Danio rerio: one gene and its partner. The protein of the gene in region 1 interacts with the protein of each later gene in a biochemical or structural test. Links are inferred from orthologs where the notes say so. Each region holds a gene or a part of one and is shown on either strand. Other genes may lie near its edges. The genes, in order: mcm3l and cdc7.

The links.
Region 2: the proteins of mcm3l (region 1) and cdc7 form a complex in vitro, tested with the Homo sapiens proteins (2 studies listed by BioGRID and IntAct, with this or other methods). The link is inferred for Danio rerio from reciprocal best matches to the Homo sapiens genes MCM3 and CDC7.

What each region holds. Positions count from the first base shown.
Region 1 is NC_133195.1:6,680,919-6,691,850, forward strand, and holds the start of mcm3l (MCM3 minichromosome maintenance deficient 3 (S. cerevisiae), like), read right to left. Parts: upstream 7,084-10,932; 5' UTR 6,965-7,083; coding exon 6,893-6,964; intron 6,786-6,892; coding exon 6,673-6,785; intron 4,851-6,672; coding exon 4,642-4,850; intron 3,604-4,641; coding exon 3,473-3,603; intron 2,506-3,472; coding exon 2,267-2,505; intron 2,197-2,266; coding exon 2,088-2,196; intron 1,531-2,087; coding exon 1,377-1,530; intron 967-1,376; coding exon 835-966; intron 1-834. Other genes in the region: si:ch211-191a24.4 (uncharacterized protein), read left to right, coding at 10,852-10,932. UniProt on the Homo sapiens protein: Acts as a component of the MCM2-7 complex (MCM complex) which is the replicative helicase essential for 'once per cell cycle' DNA replication initiation and elongation in eukaryotic cells.
Region 2 is NC_133177.1:11,292,037-11,302,316, forward strand, and holds part of cdc7 (cell division cycle 7-related protein kinase), read right to left. Parts: intron 9,754-10,280; coding exon 9,667-9,753; intron 9,165-9,666; coding exon 9,029-9,164; intron 8,891-9,028; coding exon 8,797-8,890; intron 8,709-8,796; coding exon 8,566-8,708; intron 5,007-8,565; coding exon 4,769-5,006; intron 4,637-4,768; coding exon 4,541-4,636; intron 4,457-4,540; coding exon 4,251-4,456; intron 3,918-4,250; coding exon 3,835-3,917; intron 1-3,834. UniProt on the Homo sapiens protein: Kinase involved in initiation of DNA replication. Phosphorylates critical substrates that regulate the G1/S phase transition and initiation of DNA replication, such as MCM proteins and CLASPIN.

The DNA of each region.
Region 1 (10,932 bases):
ATATATATATATATATATATATATATATATATATATATATATATCCAGACTGACTGAATGAATTAAAAAAATAATAAAGCTCAGCTGTTTAACTCTACACTCTCAAGAAATAAAGGTACAAGAGCTATCATTGGGAAAGTACCTTTACATATTTGTACCTAAAGCAGCCTTTGTGGTACCTCAAAGATACATATCAGTACCCAAATGCACCTAAAATGTACCTTTGAAGTACTAATATGGACTTTTCAGGTACAAATATGTATCTTTTGTAAAGGTACTTTCCCAGTGACAGCTCTTGTACCTTTATTTCTGAGAGTGTAGAGTTAAACAGCTGAGCTTTATTATTTTTGAATTCATTTAGTCAGTTTTGTTACCTTTTAGCCTCGCATAGACCATTGAATTGGATTTTAACTCAAAAATAAATAAATAAATAAATAAATAAATATAATATCTTGTACCTTTATTTCGTATTTCGAGTGTATGACTTGTAAAAATGAGTCTAACCAGAGCAGGTTGGGCTTAAGGGTTAGTTAACAGCCGGGCTATGTACAGTATGTGTCCCTGGACCAGAAAACCAGTCATAACTGTTATTTTTGTAAATCGAGATTCATACATAATCTGAAAGCCAAAATAAATAAAAGCTTTTCATTGATTTGTGGTTTATTAGGAAACATTTATTTGAAAATCTGGTATCAGAGGGTTTAAAAAAAAAACTGAAAAACAAAAAAGCTCAAAAAGGTGAAAGAAGAAATTAATTTGATACCTTTACAGAAGGAAATTAAGGGTAGAAAAAAAATAAGATGAACATGACAACAACTAAAAATTAAGTGTTACCTGTCTCCTGATCAGTCGTGACCGCCGCTGTCAAACCCACCCCAGATGAGCCCCGTCCAGTGGTGGGAATTGCTCTTGGTGCCGTGAACAAAACATACCGCAGCAACTGAGACTTTGCGACAGAAGGATCACCTAAAAAAATACAAAACCGAAACTAGTGCACTTTGCAACTACTAAAATTTCTAATTATATAAAATCTATAATTTATATTTAAATAGCTAAAAACTAAAATACTAAATATTTTTATTCATAAATGTTTAATTTATAAAGGTCAATTTACAAATATAAATGAAATTTGAACAGTAATACATAATTTCTGTACAATATTTTATAGAAATACATCTATAAGTTTAGATGTACATCAAATTCATTATTTTTATACAAATAACCACAGAGATAACTTCTCTATGTCTTACAATAATTAGATTAATTTCAAATGAGTAAACAGTTATAAAGAAATCAGAACAAATTTACAAACATATAAAAACTAATAAGGATATTTTAAATGATTTAAATACTCTAAAATTAAACCATATGCAGACCTATGAGCAGAATGTTGATGTCTCCTCTGATGCGCGTCCCATTCTCCAGGTTGGTCTCATTGCCTCCTAGCAGCAGACAGAGAATGGCCTTCTTTATGTACTCGTGGCCATGAATGCTGGGGGCCAAAGACCGACTCAACTGCTCGAAAACATCCTGAAATGCACAAACACCGTAGCAAGGATGACACCCATCAGGACTGAGTTTTAAAAGGAATTGAAAGGCTTTTTTTAAGAAAGAAAGAAAGAAATAAAGAAAGAAAGAAAGAAAGAAAGAAAGTAAGAAATTTTTTTTTAAAGGTAGAGTTGGTCAATTGTTTAAAAAAAAATATGAAACAGATCAGTAAAAGGGGTCATGGCATGAGTTTTTTTTTTGTTTGTTTTGTTTGTCAAGTTGTTTTAATACTTGTTAATTTGGTTTCAATAATGCTATTTTTAACAATAAATGACATGTATATGCAGAAAATCCATGTTCAATTTTTGTGAAAAGCTCTGATTTTGAGGCACGGGTCTTTTACTTAGGCGGAATTGGGTGGAGCTTGTATGCTGGAGGCAGTATGCAAATGAACGTACTGTGACATCATATACCATTGTGTTCCTAAATTCATTCTTACAGCTTGAAGAAAGTTTATAACGATATTCATTTTTCAGCAATTTTTAATAAACCTAGGAAAATAGATTTTTCACACCACGACCCTTTTAAAGTCATCTTACTTTCGAATGCGCTTTACAAAACTTCTTGATCTTGGCGACATCATCACCAGAGAAGGTGGGTACGATCTCCTTACTCATAAGCTTCACATTGTTAGCCAATAAGATTGTTCTGCAGAGAGTCAAGATGTTATTCTGAGGGGATTCAATATTGATAACTGTAGGACTCTGAACAAACAAACCTGAAGGTCCCTGAGGTGAAACCGCCCTGTTTTGCGGGCAGGCAGCGGTAAACACCTACGATCTGCACGCGGTCACCTGGCTTGACCCGATCCACGAGGTCATCATTGGCAATGATGTCGACAGAGCGTGGCAGTTGTCCAGCGGGGGCTTTCTCTGGCATCTCCTGAATGGTCAGTGTCTGGTGGTCTTTATAGCAGCAAAGGCCAAACTCTGTCTCCAGAGGATTGTTTTCTTCATCCTATGTACAGTAAAGTACAGTAAAAACATTGACAGGATGTACAGAGAGACCATCATCCATGTTTGAGGTAACAAGAAAAACAGATGCTAATGTGATGTGCATGAATGTAGACAAAATAGTTAAAAAAAAAAAAAAAAGTTTTTTAAAGTCCACTAGAGGCGTTTGATTATTTGATACAAATAATTAAATTAAAATTTAACTAAATATTTAACACATATTTAAAATGTAAACTATTTGACTATAAAACAAAAAAACAACAACAAAACAATCTACTTATTTAAAAAATGGAGTTAGTAATTACATTTATTATTCACATTTAAATAAAAAAAATTAGCTTTGAATGAAATTGACTTGAACTGAATTTAAATATAGGTAAATATTTACAAAATGCATTATGTTTCTTCATAAGTATATGGAAAAATTAATAATTAATATATTATTATTTACTGAAATATTCCTTTTATTAAACTTAATTTAAATTATTTCATTATGTATTCAACAAATTTAAATGAACTTAAATGTAAAAACTTTAAACATTTCAGTAAGTGTCTTGAAATAGGCATCATAATACAAGCTTAATAAATTATCATTTTAAATATTCACTAAACAAGTGTATGCATGTATTAACTTTAAACAATTTTAAATAAATTATTTAAATATCAAATTTATGGTTTAAACTCTTAAAATTTGAAGTTTATTCATTTAAATATGTAAACAAAGAACAAATAAAGATGTTAATATTTGTGCCTGTAAATATTACATTTAATTATCAAATGTAACCATTAAACATATTCTCAACTGACAGAGAGAAAGACAGACAGACATAACAAAAAAAAAAAAAACATACTACTATATGTAACCCCGCTGGTCTTAAACCACCCAACCCGCTCCAAGCTGGTATCGAACAGGCGACCATTCGCATGGGAGTCGTTTGCTCTAACATTTAACGCCATTTACAGTAACTCACTTTGGTCGGATAGATGGCACTAGAAGGAAAAGCATCCAATGATGTCAGATCTGTATACTTTCGTTCCAAGGTTTTCTTGGTAGCTGGACAATAGTGGACACTGCGCATAATCTTAGGCCTCACCAAAGAACCTACAGATGGAAAGACAATGAAGACAACCAAGTGGAATAAACATGCACTTGTACACATTTATATCCGATATAGAAATAATATGCAACGTGCATATTCAAAGCTCTGATAAACAATTTAGAAATCAGCGTGTAACATTCTGAACATTACTTTATCTATGTGAAATGACAAACATCAAGTATAGGCAGTTAAATGAGCGCTTACAGGAATGTTTCACCCAAAAAATGTATTTACTCAATTTCTCACCCTCACATGCTTCCAAACCTACACTGAAAAAAAAAATTCAAAGATGATTCCTTGGATTTACTAAATTTTCTTACGTTAAGTGGTCGTAAACAATTTAATTGTGTTGAATTTAAACAAACAAATTAAGTTTAACATGATTCAATTTAATTTATGTGTTTAAAATCAACACAAACAAATTGTTTGCAACAGTTCTGCATGCAACACCTTTTTCAATGTACGAGTTTGTTATCATCTTTTGTGTTCAAAACAATATTTAAAAAAAGAAGCTGCAAGCATGTAACCATTGACTTCCATACTAGGAAAAATAAATATAAGGATGTCACAGCTAAGAAATATCTTCTTTTGTGTTGAGAGAGAGAGAGAGAGAGAGAGAGAGAGAGAGAGAGAGAGAGAGAGAGAGAGAGAGATTTAATTTTATTGCCATTTCAGCTTCTATGGCTATGTCATGGCAAAAATACAATACATCAAGTTTATCACATTTTATAAATACCAATTTTTTTATAATTATAAATATATTCTAACAATTAAAAGTAATCAACAGCAATAAATAATGTCCACGGTAAAATAAATAAATAACAATAATGATAATATATAAGATAAAAATCTAAAACAGTTTATTAAGGTTTCCTTTTGATAAAAGTTGTACAATTTAGATGGGTTTTTTTGTGTTCATCTAAAATCAGATGGTCAATCAAGTTTGGAACAAGTGAAGGATGAGTAAAAGAGAACAACATTTTCTGTTTTGGACGAAACAATTGCTTTAATAAGTAATAAGTAAAGTAAATCTTACTCACACTTGGTCACGATGCCTTCCACACACACAAGGTTTCCCAGAAAGCGAGCACTCAGAGTACGAGGAGACACATGTTTGTTCCCAAAACTGCCCTCGAAACCAACATGAAACTCCTCAAACTGCTTAGCATAAGTGGCATCTATTGAAGCCACGAGATCCTTCAGGGCTTTCTGAAACGCCACCAGCTCAGCGAAAGCATTCTTCAGTAATCTATTAAAAAGAGACACTTAATCAGATCAATAAAGATTCAAGGATATACACTCAAAATTACATTTGCCGCTTCCACTACTTATTTAAAATAAGCTGAAACAACACAATTCAAGCTTTTTTGGGGGAAACCTAACAGTTTTATGTTAAATCAATATCCATTTGTAAAAACTAATAGGTTAACTTATTTTCTTCGAGATGTTTTAACACAAATTGATTGTGTGAAATCCAGCATTTTTTACAGTGTATGGGAGAATGGGGGCAACATGGGGCAGTTACAACAAGACTTATTTCTCCATTAAGGAATGAGCTATGGAGGGATGATATTCATACTACATATTGTCAGTTGGATCCTTCTTCCATCCAAGAGAAATCAGCCATATGTGACCATTTCTTCAGTCTAAAACTCATTTTAGGTATTTAAAAAAAAAAAAAAAAAAAAAAAATAGTTTTTTGTAATGATCAGAAAATTTCTCATACAGCCCAATCTGTTTTTGTGAAACATTATTCATTTGTATAATTTAAATCACTGTTTTCATAGCTTTAAATAGGTATAGCTATCAAGCGTTTGTAACAAGCTATTGTATCTCTCTAGCATGGAATGTTTAATCAAGGTTGACAGAGTTGCTGAACATGCTTCTGTAACTGTCCCCAATTGTTATAAAATTCATTTGAAAGCTTGCCATATTAACAAATGTACAATTTTATTGATCACAGTTTTAATATAATTTGAAAAAAATATTTGATTAATTAATTCATGTCAACATTCTTAGTAGTAGTTTGGTAAAGGTTCAATCTTTCAGTAAAAAAAAAAAAAAAAAAAAAAGTTCAGTTTTTTTAGGCCTTATAATTGGATGTTGCTCGTTTTTTTTTTTTTTTTTTTTTAAGGTTTTGTATTTATATGGCCAACACATTTAATAATTTAACCAATTTTCATTTAGTGGGTTTACCAAAAAATAAAATCCAACTCGAGGTTTTAGATTTTTTTTAAATTATAATTTGAATGAATGTTGCAATTGTCCCTTTCTTTAAGTAATAAATGAAGAATTTATTAACATATCTACACATATTATAGCAATATGGGTGCCTGTCCAACAGAAGTGAGTTTATTGTTTTAAAATTTTGGGGTTCCACAAAAAAAAAATAAAATTGTCTTCGAGAAACTGAAAGAATTGCAAAAAGTGTTGCAACTGTCCCCACTCTCCTCTACAGAGAATTTTCATCACACATCATCAGTCAGCCATATTGGAAACACAGAACGTAAACAATGTGACTGAACTGACTGAGAATCATATTATTTGCTTACTACTGCTGAAAATGATCAATTGTTTTGGGCTTTGCTATTAGATTGTATTAGAATACTGAAAGCCATGTAAAGTCAAGCAGAAGAGAGAAAAAAAAGCTGTCTGAAGAACAAAAAGTGTTTGTGGTTGACCAAACTAATTCACGATTTCCATGGCAAGAATCTTGATAACGTTCATGTTTGTTCTTATAATTTATGCTCAAGCGAGTGTAACATTAGGCTAATCTGGTCAAATGTATCCTTTACCACATGTTAAATCAAAATGCTACACCATATTCTGCTTTAGTAAGTGATTTAGCAGCTTCCATGTTTTTTTTTTTTTTTTTTGTATATTTTAGACAGCAGAGCAACATATAGTACATCAACCATGCTGTTTACACCAGAGTTTCACATGTATCTGGCCACATGTTTGTTACTGACCAAATCCCGAAGAGCAAACAACGTTAAAGAAAAAATCTAAAATTGTCAAAAAAGCAAAATATGAAACAAAATAGACAACTTTTAATCAAATTAATCACTTACTCTTTAGCTCTTTTTTCACTTTTTCTTCTCAGATCATTAATGTTGACAATGAGACGACACTGTCCATCAGACACCATACTCCTGACCTTTTCATGGTAGATGCCCTGATCTTGCTGTAAATTACAATAAAAAAAGATTTAGTTTGACAGACAAAAAACAAAGTTTATACAGTTCAAAATGCCCACAAGTCAAACACATAAAGATTATTCAAATTATTCACATCATCATCCAGAAAGTCCAGATATTCCCTCTGTGACTCTCTCAGCTCGAGGTCCTCTAACCCAGTATCCATTTCTCCTACACGCGCATCAGCATGTGCATTACAATATTTTAAAATAACATTCACAGTTCAACAAAAATCAAATGCACAAACATGAAGCAACCAAACCAAGCTGGTGCAACAGGCCTGACAATCAATTATGTTAATTAGGCTCATTAACTTGAGCATGTGATTATCCAACTGATTTGAATAGAGCTACCCCTATTTCGAACCATGCTTTCATTATGGTAAAAAATATAACAGATAACCATGTGTAGCCTATATCACGTTTTTACTGTAAATACAATGGTTAAACTGTGGTTAGTGTAGCAAAATCATGAATAATTCGTAATTATCATGTTTGTTTGTTTTTTTTTTTTACAAGTAACCATGTTTTATTTGTGTAATGGTAGCTGGACCCTATTAGCAAAATAGATTCTCCTGAACGCTTCTTAAAATGCTCGAGTCAAAAGGACAATGAATGCGCTAGACCCCCTTTGAATTATTCCATTCTTTTATACTGTATTTGAAGCTCTTACAGTGCTCTTCAGTTATTTTACTCCGAGCTGCTTGATACTGTTGACACTCACACATACTGTAGTTGCATAATACGCACATAAATTAGTTCATTTTCGTTTGTTACGACATTCCAGGACGAAGCCTCAGGCTACGGCTCATATGGTTTTATAAAATATTCATTCACGTTTTGGACGAATCTTCCTTTGCTCGGTTCTCTGCAAACAAACTCCTGAAGTGTCTGAAGGCGTTCCTCTTCGGTGACTGACTTTACCATTCAGCAAATAGGATTTGAGTGCGCGCTGTGAAGGCGTGTTTCATTGGTTAGACCTGAACGATTACGCCCCTCTCTATATGTAGTTCCTCAAGCTGGAGAAAAACTGCTTGTTCAGCTCTTATCTGGTAATATATCTAATGTCTGAATCCAATATTTTACATACTAATCAGTTAAGTAAGGGAGCGGGGCACAAAGTAACACTTTTTGGCTTTGGTCAAATAATAAACAAAGGTTTGGGGTTAAACAAACCATTTGTTTTTTTACCAACAAAACACAAGCCTCTCCTACAAATGAGCTCTGGTTGTATAATCGCCGGACTATTGTTTCTTTGCAGTGTTGCCAAAAGTGCCAGGAGTAAAAATGTTACTATTTACCTCACTTCAAGTTGTAACAGACAGGGTTAGTTGTAACACATGCTTAAAAAAAGGCAGATTACACACAGTTTATTTAAAAATTTAAAGTTTACTTTAAATAGTAGCTATATTTTCTCAGTACCTAGCTCAATTTATTTTTTATTCTACACAGCACAGTATGTTTTCCAGAGATGGGTTGCGGCTGGAAGGGCATCCGCTGCGTAAAAACTTGCTGGATAAGTTGGCGGTTCACTCTGCTGTGGCGACCCTGGATTAATAAAGGAACTAAGCAGTCAAGAAAATGAATGAATAGCACGGTATATTTATTTATTTATTGGATAAACACATTTGGATTATACAATGCATTTATTTGTATTATTAGCAGTAAAATATTTTTTGTCTATCAAAAAAAAAAAAATTTCATTTCATTTAAATAGTTCTCAACATTACACTCAAAATTATATATATATATATATATATATATATATATATATATATATATATATATATATATATATATATATATATATATATATATATATATATATATATAGTGTTAGTTTGATTGGTGTCCAACAGTGCGTGGCTTAATTGTAACACTAACTAACTAACCGCGCGGTGTCGTGTTTTCTTCAAAACTGGCTAGCAGTCACTTTGTGTTTTACATCTTTCAAAATGGTTTCATATTTTAGCCTAGAAGATGGTAGTCACAACAATATATTTAAAAAATATTGACTATAATAAAAAATTATTTTAGGTTGCAAAAATGGTTTCTCCGTGTTCTCATCCAAATTTCGCCAAACTTTTTCAATAATTGGCAAGAAGACATCTGCCGACACTGTGGTGAAAACCTCGCAGTCATGCCATGGTTAACCCTGAGCAAGTATACCTTAAATCTCGGTGTTACATTTAACCTCGCGTTACTTTGTGCCTCGCACTCCCCTACCAATGGTTTGAAAATTATAGACAATAAATTTAATCACTTTTACATCAAAAATGTTATGCAGAACCACATTGTTGCCAAAATGTAAACCATTTTATATTTCCTTATTTGAGCAGATTGAGTGGAAAAAAGTTTGGAACTTTGGAAAGTTTGGAAAAGTTTGGTTTTGTTGACATTGGTATGGGGACTGTCATGATTTATATTTATCTTGACTTTGAAAATAAAATTTGATGACAACTTTTTAGAAACAAACATATGAATTAGCTTACATTACTTACTGAATTATTATTATTATTATTATTATTATTATTATTATTATTATTATTATTTCAGTTTCACCTTACAAAAATAATCCATGGGTTGACCAAATGATGATATGACCTGATCTATATATTTAATTATAATTAATTGTATTACATTATAATGCTTGTTTTTCTTTACAAACAATTAAAAATTATTATATTTTATCATATAATTAATAGTTTTATTTGTTACCTTGATGTATTATTTATTTCAGAAGATTTGTTTACATTTAGAATTAAATAAAATATTTGTTGTGCTAAATACTATCCTATTCCAGTATTCATCTGACTGTATATTGACTGTTTATGCTACTTTTGTTCTCAACATATTTTGTATTCAATAAAAAACGGTCTGGTTCTGTTGATTCTCTCGTCAACAAATCAGTGATTGAATCCTTTAGTGAGCTGGTTCAAAAGAATCGATTCGTTTGAGTGAATCAAAAACAATGCTCTTCCCTCGCACTTGCGTATGTTTTGATCGAAGACAGAGCCACTTTTGTTGAGGAGACAGTCCGTGCTCTCAGTCTGTCCTGACCTTTGCTTCTGTTATCGCGTATTGGGTCGTTCAAACTGTGAATAGGCGATCACACAGATAACAAAGTTTGACAGTTCGTTTAGGGACTGCCGCGTCTGATACTTGTATTTTTCACCTGTCTTCAAACCCCAGGTAATCATCGCGAGATTTCACTGACAGGGTTGGTCAAAATCTCATGTCGGCGGAAAAAAGTGGAGTTTTGATTAGGAAAACCAAAACAAATGTGATCAGCGACCTTTATAAACAAGTAAGTTGTCTGTTTTTTTGACGTTGTTGTCGTTTAGAAACATTATTTGGTCATTTACTTCTAATAAAACGAGTTTATTGTTGTTGTTTTTACTGAAGTCAGCTGAAACGAGATACAAGAGTGAGTGAAACTCATTCACCGATACTCAACCACAGGTTACAGTACGTAAACTAAAACAATTAACGGTTGCGGTTTGGAAATTGTTTTCGTATTTTAAGACAGTTACGTTAACTTATTGCAATCAATAATAATGTGGATATTTTACTGTGTATATAAGTATATCCAATGGTTTGTACACAATCAAATTTATAGGCTATACAAACAAACAAACTATCTATCTATCTATCTATCTATCTATCTATCTATCTATCTATCTATCTAACTATCTATCTATCTATCTATCTATCTATCTATCTATCTATCTATCTATCTATCTATCTATCTATCTATCTATCTATCTATCTATCTAACATGTTATCTATCTATCTATCTATCTATCTATCTATCTATCTATCTATCTATCTATCTATCTATCTATCTATCTATCTATCTATCTATCTATCTATCTGTCTGTCTGTCTGTCTAATATATCTGTCTGTCTGTCTGTCTGTGTTTGTTTGTATTGTTATTAATAAATTAAATTTTTACGATGGAGTTGTCTTAAGTCTTTTTTTTTTTTTTTTTTTTTTTTATAAAATTTGTAAACCTCTGCAAACATACACTAAAGTATCTTTCTTTCATGAAGCAATGAGCCAGCCACCCAGAAACCAGCGTACACACAGAGAGAGAAATGGTGAAGAGAGAAGACAAAATGGTGAAAAGAGAGAC
Region 2 (10,280 bases), on another chromosome or scaffold:
AATAAATCATTGTCTTCACCTGCATTTGGGCTTTTTTTTCCTGTAAATTATATATATATATATATATATATATATATATATATATATATATATATATATATATATATATATATATATATATATATATATATATATATATATATATATATATATATATATATATATATATATATATATGTATGTCTGGGCCAGTAAACAGAGAAAAAACCCAAATGTTTACTGGCCCAGACACGTATATATAATTTACAGAAAATTTAATAAAGGGTTGATGAATAATTAACCCTTGTGTACTGTTCAAATTTACTAACATTTTGTTATGTTTGTAGCTGTTTTTGCCTTCTTGAATTCTATTATAATGATATTTTTTATTGCAAAGCCATGACAGTATAATCATGCATTCCTGAATGTTGCTGGTTTTCCCTGAGCTGCTTGTTTTGATTTTCCCAAGCAATGTCTCTCTCTCTCTCTCTCACACACACACACACACACACACACACACACACACACACAATTTCATATAGAAGGCAGAAATTACGCTTTTTTTGCACTGCAACTGATGATCAACAATAAAAATGACACATTTTATCTCTTCCCAACAGGGAAAAAAAAACAGCAATGATTAAGAAGGCATGATTATATGGTGCAATTAAAAATGTCATTAAAATGAAAGTCAATGGGGCAAAAACAGCCACCATCATAATGAATCTGTAGAAATTTTGCTCAAAGTGTATTGTTGAATTTTTGAAATTTCCCAAAGCATTTTTTCAAAATATGTCAAAATAAGATTTCTAACCAAAAATCATTTCATTTGCTGAGATACAGAGAAAGTTGCGGCCAAATTAAGACACAAAATCATCCCAGAGCAGATGAAAACATCCCCAACAGCACACAAGGGTTAATCTACTATTGGTGTCCTAAACCTTTTTATTAAATTGTTGAGAGAAAATGACATGCCTTAGTGCAGTGGTCACCAAACTTGTTACTGGAGGGCCGGTGTCCTGCAGATTTCAGCTACAACCCAAATCAAACACACCTGAACAAGCTAATCAAGGTCTTGCTAGGTATACTTGAAACATCCAGGCAGGTTTGTTGAGGCAAGTTGGAGCTAAACCCTGCAGGGATACCAGCCCTCCAGGACCGAGATTGGTGACCCCTGCATTCCAGAGTTTATCATCAGAGACAGTGACCCAACTTGGAGCAAGTCACATGCTTTGTCTATCTGTGCTTTAATTAAAGAATGTCATCATAGCTTTATATAAACGATGTAACAAAGTTGACCAGAACGTAGGGACAGACCATGGGCCCGTCTTCGTACCTCGCTTAAATGATCTTGGATGATTTGTCACTTTTAATCATGATACCTGATCTCTGGCTGATTTGGTTCTTCAAACAACTTCACGAAACATTAAAATGTCTGGATTAACTGATCGGAGATCGGTACACTTGTTGTGATGGACTGATCTATCGATCCTCAAAATCATGACCAACGATTGGCTTATGGCACAGCACCATAATGACATCATCTGAGTAATATTCAATTATCCATGTGAGAAAAATTGCATAAACTTCGTAATAAATGGTTTGATAAATATGATAGGCAATAGCTATACGCTTTTGTTGTTGGTTGTAGGTTTTGAACTTTGAATGTAAAACTAAATAAATTGCTAAATACTCTTAACTCAGAGCTAATTTTCTTTATTATAGTATAATAGAATTTAAGTTTCTCAATTGGTGTAAAGAATTTAAATTAATTTTGCATCAAGCATTTTGATTTCGGGTGTCTGCAACTTTTACGAAGCATCAAATCACCATCATATTATCTGTCAAAACGTGCATGACTGCATACATTATTATTTCTTAAAATAAAAAAAAATTAACTAAAAATTTTTTTATAAAATAAACAGTTGAATGATGTGCATGTCTATTAATATACACAAAGCTGGGTCGGTACATTAAAATAGTATTGGTTTATATCTAAAAAGTCCATATTAATAAATGCTCTTTTTGAACCCCTTGGGAAGAACCACACCTTTTTTGTACATATATTTTGGAGTGCAAATAAGTTTTATTTCTATATTTTATTAAACTTGTATGTATACAAGCATAAATATTATTAATTACTTAATATTAAATTTTATTAATTGTTATAAATGTATATATATATATATATATATATATATATAGAGAGAGAGAGAGAGAGAGAGAGAGAGAGAGAGAGAGAGAGAGAGAGAGAGAGAGAGAGAGAGAGAGAGAGAGAGAGACAATAACAAGCTGCGAATAAGAAGCTGGATTCAGAACAGCTTCTGCTGTTCTGACGTCAGCTGCAGATGTAAATAAATGGTGGAAGATAGTAGTTCCTAATACAATAGGGTTTTAGACTCTCTGTGTTTGATTTTCTTTTTTATGTACAAGATTGTGCCATCAAACTGTTGTATAAACGCATTATCACACTAGTAGCAGTGTGCTATGGCTGTATATCAGCACTGGTGGGGCACAAAGCACGCCTCCCACCAGTGCTGATATTGACCTTATTCTAAAATGCAGAAGTGCGCCTGTTATCGCGATTGTCTTAGAACTTCCGATTCAGTCGCCTATGGGAGAAATGACTAGGAATAATAAACAGCAGAAAATGGTCAAACTACTTGCTCTACAAACAAATATTTGCATGACTATACAGACCAAATAGAATAATATAATAAAAAAAATCTAATTGCAACATCTAGCAGCATAACGAGCAGTTTTTAACGTTAAAAAAATAAATGGAAGTGAATGAGACCGGAAGTCTAGAGCCAAAAAGATTCAAATGGCAGCACCCACTCGTCGGCGGAGAATAAGGTGAATACAGCCATAGCACACTGGTACTAGTGTGATATTTCTCACATATACACACACACACACACACACACACACATGTATAAAACTTTTTTTCTTATTTTACTTATTTCCCAAGTTTATATAACCTATAGGTTACTACTGTAAGAAAACGTCAATTATACCTGCAATTGTAGAATGACCATTATAAATTTCAAATGGACGTGTATAAAGTACACAACAGTGTTTTCACTAGGATTTTTTTACAGCTGTGGTGGCAGGCCTTTTTTTTTTTTTTTTTTTTACACAGATCTGCTAACTACCTGTTGCGTTATTTCAATGACAAATGTCGTGAGCGCAGTATTACAAGTTGAGATCGGATTTATGTAATAGCCTACGAGCATGTGAAACTCTTTGCTTGCGCGCCGATTTCCTCTGCTAGTGCACAAAACTTCTTGCACATCCTTAAATATACGCTGCTCAAGCGCAGATCTTCTTGTGCGCGCTCAAATAAATGCTGCTGGGTGCGATTTAGTGCGTTTATGTAACGAGTATGTCTCCAACATTTATTAGATTTGCTAGGAATATTATTGAATGTCTCCAATAGACCTACAGAGCGGTATTAATGCGCCCTGAAGTAAAGTTAAACTAGTATACGTTGTAATTGCTGGCCTCACGCATCTGTCAGTCAGCACATAACCTTAAAGGGTTAAACAAATAACGCACAGTACTACTACGGTTACAGAAAAGTTTGCCCCGTTATAATTCACTTACCTTTTAATACGTTTTGGTACGATTATCACCCGCTATTAAAAAAAACAGAACTGAATAATATGAATAAAAAGTTGTAATGTAGCCATGGCGGGATCAATTTTGGTGTGGCGGAAACCATGAACAAGTTTTAAAAAAAGACAGAACTGTACCAACTGTTAAAGAGATAGTATTTTCTATACAGTGAGCTGGAATACTGAATCACATCCAAAATAATAATAATAATAATAGCATTGCTTTTGTTAGCTTTACCTGTTCCCTGGTTGGGACACTTGGTTAGAACCTCAGGAGCCCTAAACCCAGGGGTACCAGCCCTCGGAGCCACCTGCTGTTTCCTGTGAAAAAAATAACCACACTATTAAATTAAAACCATCAAATAGAATGTTTTTATTGAGAAATGCAAAAAAAAAAAAATTCCTGAAAAGGCTGATGTAGCTTATTAAACACTCAAAATGTAACTAATCACTAGTCACTATCACTAGTTCACTATTAACAATAAATCTGATAGCAGTTCATGACAAATGTGGGTGTTTTTAGAATTGGGCTAAAACAGAGTATAGATGCATGTAGTAGACTGTGTAGTGTTGATCTTTCTTTTTTCTTCACCGTAGACATGCCACAGTAGGCTTTTTAAGGTTTGGATTGATGTATAGATGACGAGTGTGTACCTGGACAGGCAGATGTTGCAGACGCGGTCAGTCATGTAGCAGTTGCAGGTGAGTAGGGGGTTGACGGCAGCAGGTTTAGGTTTCTGACTCTCAGCCGGAAGTTTCTGTTTCTGATTTAATGGTGCTCTGACAGGGACGGAGCGATGTTTGGCAGAAACAATCTTGCGTGGAATTACTTCCTCCTTTTTGGGCTTTGAAAGCAATCCCTAAAACACAATGTGACAGGTGAAGAGCTGATAGTTATTCAGACGGCATCGCATGCAACCAGTGTGAGAAGAGACAGAGCTAACCTCAACTTTGTCAGAGCCTGGTTTATGAGAGTTTGTGCTGTTTATGCTTTTCTCCCCAAATACAGACCGTGGTGCTTTATCAAGTCCCATCAGTTCCTTTGAGAGGAAGGACACATATTTTTGACATGAATACGAAATGAATCAATATAGGCCTGGAAGTGCAGTGCTCCCCAGTTTGACTGATTATCACTTAAAATATGATTTATTCATTAAATAAAGTGCAGACACCTTGCTGTGTTTAACGCGTGAGGGTGGGCAGGGTCTTTTAGCCGGTGCTTTAGTGCTGGACTGGACAGCAGGGTTTCTGCTGTTGGGTGGTAAAGGCACCAGTTTCTGTTTTCCCAGTGATTCCTCCACCATCTTAGATGACCCACCACCTTTATGACCTTTTGATTTGACCACCTTCAGCAGTTCGATCTGGGTGTCAGGAGTGCCCTGAGCCAGGCCAAAATCCACCAGCGCATACCTGAGGGAAAAAAAAGAAAAGAAATCAGCATGTATCAGGATTTTTGGACTTCAAGATAACAGTCAAAGAGCCTCCGACTTAATTTGTTCATGTGCAATAAAGTACCGCACATACCCAATGTCAGTTTAGTGTTCAACATTCAGCACGGGTTATTAAAGGTGGATTAGGTGTGAACAACATTTAAAACCATTTTGCTCTTATTTAAAGCCTTAAAGGGTTAGTTCAAAAAAAGTGAAAATTCTGTCATTTGAGCTAATGAACAGCAGTCGTTCCCAATTCCAGTCCTTGGGACCACCCGCCCTGCACATTTTGTATAGGCAGTGCTCTAAATTAACCGTTTGTTTAGGTAGCACCGATGCTCCCAACTTCAAAAATGTAGGCGCACCAGACAAAATTTAGTCGCACCCACTAAAAATTATGAGCACCATTACTACACGGTTTGTATTAACAGATTCTATTATATATTAACACTCTAATCACAACTAACAAATAAACAAAAATCTGCATGTGCTCACCAGCCCTGCACGCACTGCTTGATGTGAATGAGATGAACTCAGTTAACAATAACTGCTGTTCTCAAGGGTGCTGTCTGATATTGCACAGATGATATCGACATTTAACTTATTATTTGCATACATCATCTTAATAACAGTAACAGTCTTTTCATGAGCTGCAATATTAGTTCCATCTAGGTGAATGCATGCTCTTTACCGATGGTGAACGCGATATCAGTCGCACAATCTTGACGATTAAAATGTAGGATTTAATAACGTTAGAACATCTCGTGCTTAAAATTTGAAGATTCAGTAGCAAACACTGTTAACTGAAAACTCCATCCCACGGGCTTAACAGTGAATGCTTTAGTCATTTTCATTGCAGACTTTAAACACTGGAAGTCTTTGACCCACTCTTTGAAAAGTGTAAATGCTGGATTGACATTCAGCACATGATCACTAATCAGATGTGCCATTATTTGTAACTTTAGGTGGTTTCTAAAGCTAAATCTTTCAGCGTTGTTTTCATTCTCTCGTATCCAGCCCTTTACATTTTCACGGCTGTGGCTCCCTGTCATCGAAACTGAGTGATTGACAGCTGATATTTACTAATCCATTTGCGTTCTGTTCTAGCGCAGTGGGTCAATAAGAAGAGCTTGAAGGGGGGCCAAGCACTGCGGGCTTTGTTTACTGCAGCACGTTGTCATGTCAACTGTTTTAAACCATTCCTGAGCGCTGCGATTGGTATTTTTAGGTGCAACGATGCTTAATGTGTGAATGCCTCCAAAATCCGTGCAAGTGGTGAACATTTTGCTGTGAAAACTGTTTGCACGACATCAATTTTATGCACTCGCACAAATGCTCCCAAATGTATTTTGAGGTCGCATAGATAAATTTGGGCGCATACGTGACAAATGGTCAAAATTTCGAGCCCTGATAGGTGCGTCCCAAATCGCATACTTATGCACTATTCTACGCCTTTTTGTAGTATAAATTGTGCAAGTAGTGCGTTCACACTGAAAACTCTAAAAATAATAACTGCACTTTAAGTACCCGGATGATGCACTTAATTAACCGTTAAAAAGAAGCGTTATGTTGGACACTTCACACACTCATTACTCAATTAGATGTTGGATTACTTTATTTTGGATTAAAAGCTAAATTCTCCCACTAGAGTTATTATACCACCTCCCAATGGTAGTTGCAAATAAAATCATGGAAGGTATCATGTGAGGGTTTGGTCAATTGTTTTAGCACGGGACTAAATTTTGAATCCCGCTCCTGCCTGGTTTTAGCCCAAACCCGACCGCTCCAGCTTATGTTCAGCATTTGTTGTACTGCTGCCCGTCCCGTTGTCTACCCGCCGCACCAGTTCCCGCTAACGAGCAGGGGGAGAACAAAACCGAAAAACCACCCAGCTATACAGAGTCCAGACAGCCTATAACAAGCTGTCTGTATAACACACACACACTTAAACACCAAGCAAGTGACACCCACATAGGCATGCCGCGCCGCAGAAAACTGGTCGGGAATGCAAACCACTAATTTGTTTCACTAAATTAGGCAACCGTCAAACATAATCTGGGAAACTGAAAGTAAAAAAAAAAAATTGTGTTCTATTTTGGGCGACACTACATTCATATACTACGCTGTTGAGTGTGTTAGTGCATAAGTACATAGTGTATAAGTGCAAAGTGTATATCTTAACTCACTTGATTCAGATCATCAACTCATTAACAGAGAGATCCTTGTGTGTCAAGTAACCAAAACATACAAAATGTGGAGGGTGGATGTTTGAGGACAGGAATTGGGTGCCACTGGTGTAGAGGACAAAAAAAAATGTTGGCGCACAAAAGTTGTCCTAGAGCTCTGTTATTTTAGCTCTTGGATGTTTTGACAATGTTTTTGGTTCCTTTTCTGAACTTTGAATGTTAGCGACCATTGCTATCTATAGCTTCAGATTTTATGTAAAATATCTTTTGAAGGTCTTACAGGATTGGAACGAAAAAAAGGTGAGTAATAAATAACAGAATTAAATTTTTTTGGAGACTTTACCCTTTAATTTGTAGAATGGGAACCAAGACTTTAGACCTCCAAAAACGAATGATTTGATGGATAAATTTAACGAAATTGTAAATGTTTTAAGATGATCTCTGGCACCTTTGAGAACAACAAATCTTTTTGATGATAATAACTGCCCAAAAAATGATTTGTTAATTTCCCTAATAAAAAAAGAATTGTCGTTTAATTATATTGATATTTGAATTTAATGAAGAAATTCATATTAAGAATAGTCATGATTTCTGCATTCATATTGTAAAAGAACCACACTAGACTATGTGTGGAAGTGGATCAAAACCTTAATTTCAAGGGTCTTGGTCTGTGTTTTCGGTGGGCACCAGTGTTCAAATAGAGTGTTCACACTTATTCAAATCACCCACACAAACAGAGCAATAACTACAGTGTTCAACTTAATCAAATCAAACCTATCAAGTGTGAACACACCATAAGACTCATTAGGGTATATGCACAGCTAGTGTTTTTGAGCAAAAACTTCTGCTGAAAGCTTAATGTGACTATTTTTAATTTCATATGGTTCCTTTTACAGCATCAATGTTGTAATGTAATTAAAATATAATTTATTAAATAGACTTAAGCATCCATTTGGTTGTTAAAGTGTAAAAAAAAAAAAAAGACGAAAAAACGTTTAAGCGCAGGCACCGTTATTAGCCGCAGGCCAGCAAAGAAATTCCATTGAAAATACTGGAGAAAAATTCATTTCCATTTTTTTTAACACATGACGCTGAAAAAAATGCTTTAATGCAGTGCTTCTTGTTTGGTCTGATTACCCACTTTATATTATATCTCATGTCTGTGTGCATATACCCCAATAACTGAATGATCAATTGTTATCATTTACACTTTTTAAAAAAGCTAGAAAAAGATTGTTTTTTGATTAAGTTGATATTTGAATTTGATGAAGCAATTCATATTTAGAATAGTGTACATGTGTATCAGGCAGAGGTTAGACTAGAACCACAACGACATGAATATCAGGTACATACTCCCTCTTCTGTCGATTGAACAGGAAATTGGTTGGTTTGATGTCTCTGTGGATGATGCCAAACTTGTGAATGTGCTTCAAGGCTTTGAGCAGATGATAGATGTAATGCCTCACATCCTCAAAACTTAACAAGCCAACAATATCCTACAAAAAGAAGAAACATTTTTGAGTAGCATCATGCTATTAAATCATTTAGCCTAAAAGCGCGCACACACACAGTGCAAACACTCACCACAAAGGTCTGATGCTCCATGTATGGCATGACTATGACCACGTGATGCTCCTTCCTGAAGCAGTATGTGACTCCCATCACATTTTCTGTCCCTCTGTGGAATGAGATATAATGGACAAACACTCTAACAAAACTCTGAAACCTACATTTGTTCATTCAGAAATATTTTCAATTATTTAGCCGAAATAACATAAAACAAAGGTCAAAATTAGACATTTTCATCATCACTCACCCAGCAACAGTCAGGCACTGGAGCTCAGCAGCGATGCGCACAGGATGACTGGTAGGGATCAGATGTTTCAATGCAAACAACCTCCTTGAACTGTCCGTCATCTGTGCCTCAGCCAAATATACCGAACTAAAAGTACCTGTGTTGATACAGTGATGCAAAAGATCATTAAAGGGAACCTAATATGCAAAAATCCCTTTAAAATTGATTTAAACAAAGTTATATGGCAACAGTCGAACAATATAACCAGCTTCTAATGGCGAACATATATTAATTTTATATTTTATAATCACACTTCATAAATACAGTCAGCAGAAACACTTTGATTGACATTCTCCCTTTGTATGTTTCATCTGAAGGGGACGCCTCACCCACTAGTGACGATATCTCCCTCAGTAGTATAAGTTAGTCTTAATTTTTTTAAATCTGCCACTATGCTGACATATGGGCATTTGTATAAATTTTGTCCGAATTTGTTTTTATTGACAGTGCGAGAAGTAGTTTACTTGCATTTTATAAATCATCAGAAACCATGGTTTCAGCACAAAAAAAAGTCTTTTAATGTATTTTTTTAGCAAAAAATAAATAAATAAATTTCGTAGCAAAAACAAAAAGTAATAACAATAATAATAATAGCAAACCTTCTCCAATCTTATCTATGATGCGAAATATTCGAGAAAGCTGTGGCAGAACTTCATACAGATATGCAATTTCCGTCTCAACATCTCCTAAAGAGAGATAAAACACAGAGTTAATTATTTCAACATACTAACAATTAAATACAGTTAACAATTCCTTTGTAAAGAAACTTAAGAATAAATAAAAATAGTAATGAGATAAACAAAAACAAAACGTACTTAAAAAAACATAGTAACAAAAAGAATGTACTGTGACCTACATCAATTGTTTATAACAGTTAATTAAATGCTGTTATATTTTATTATGTTAAATGTACTATAGTTAAAAAGTACTTATAGTTAAAAGTTAACTGCATAATAAATGTAATTTGATACATTTTATGTTCTTCAGAACACCCTAATGTCTCTAAAATATGATAAAGTGTGTTGCTGAATGTACTGGCAAACATTTGTGGTAAAAAAAAAGTTAAACTTTGATATTATGTTTTTGTGGTGTACTTAATATACTTGATTTGTGTATTTGTAAAGATAATTTGCATTTCAGTGAATTGTATAAATATTCATTTTTTAATGAAATATTCAAAAAGTCTTTACAGCTCATACTGTAAATTATTTAA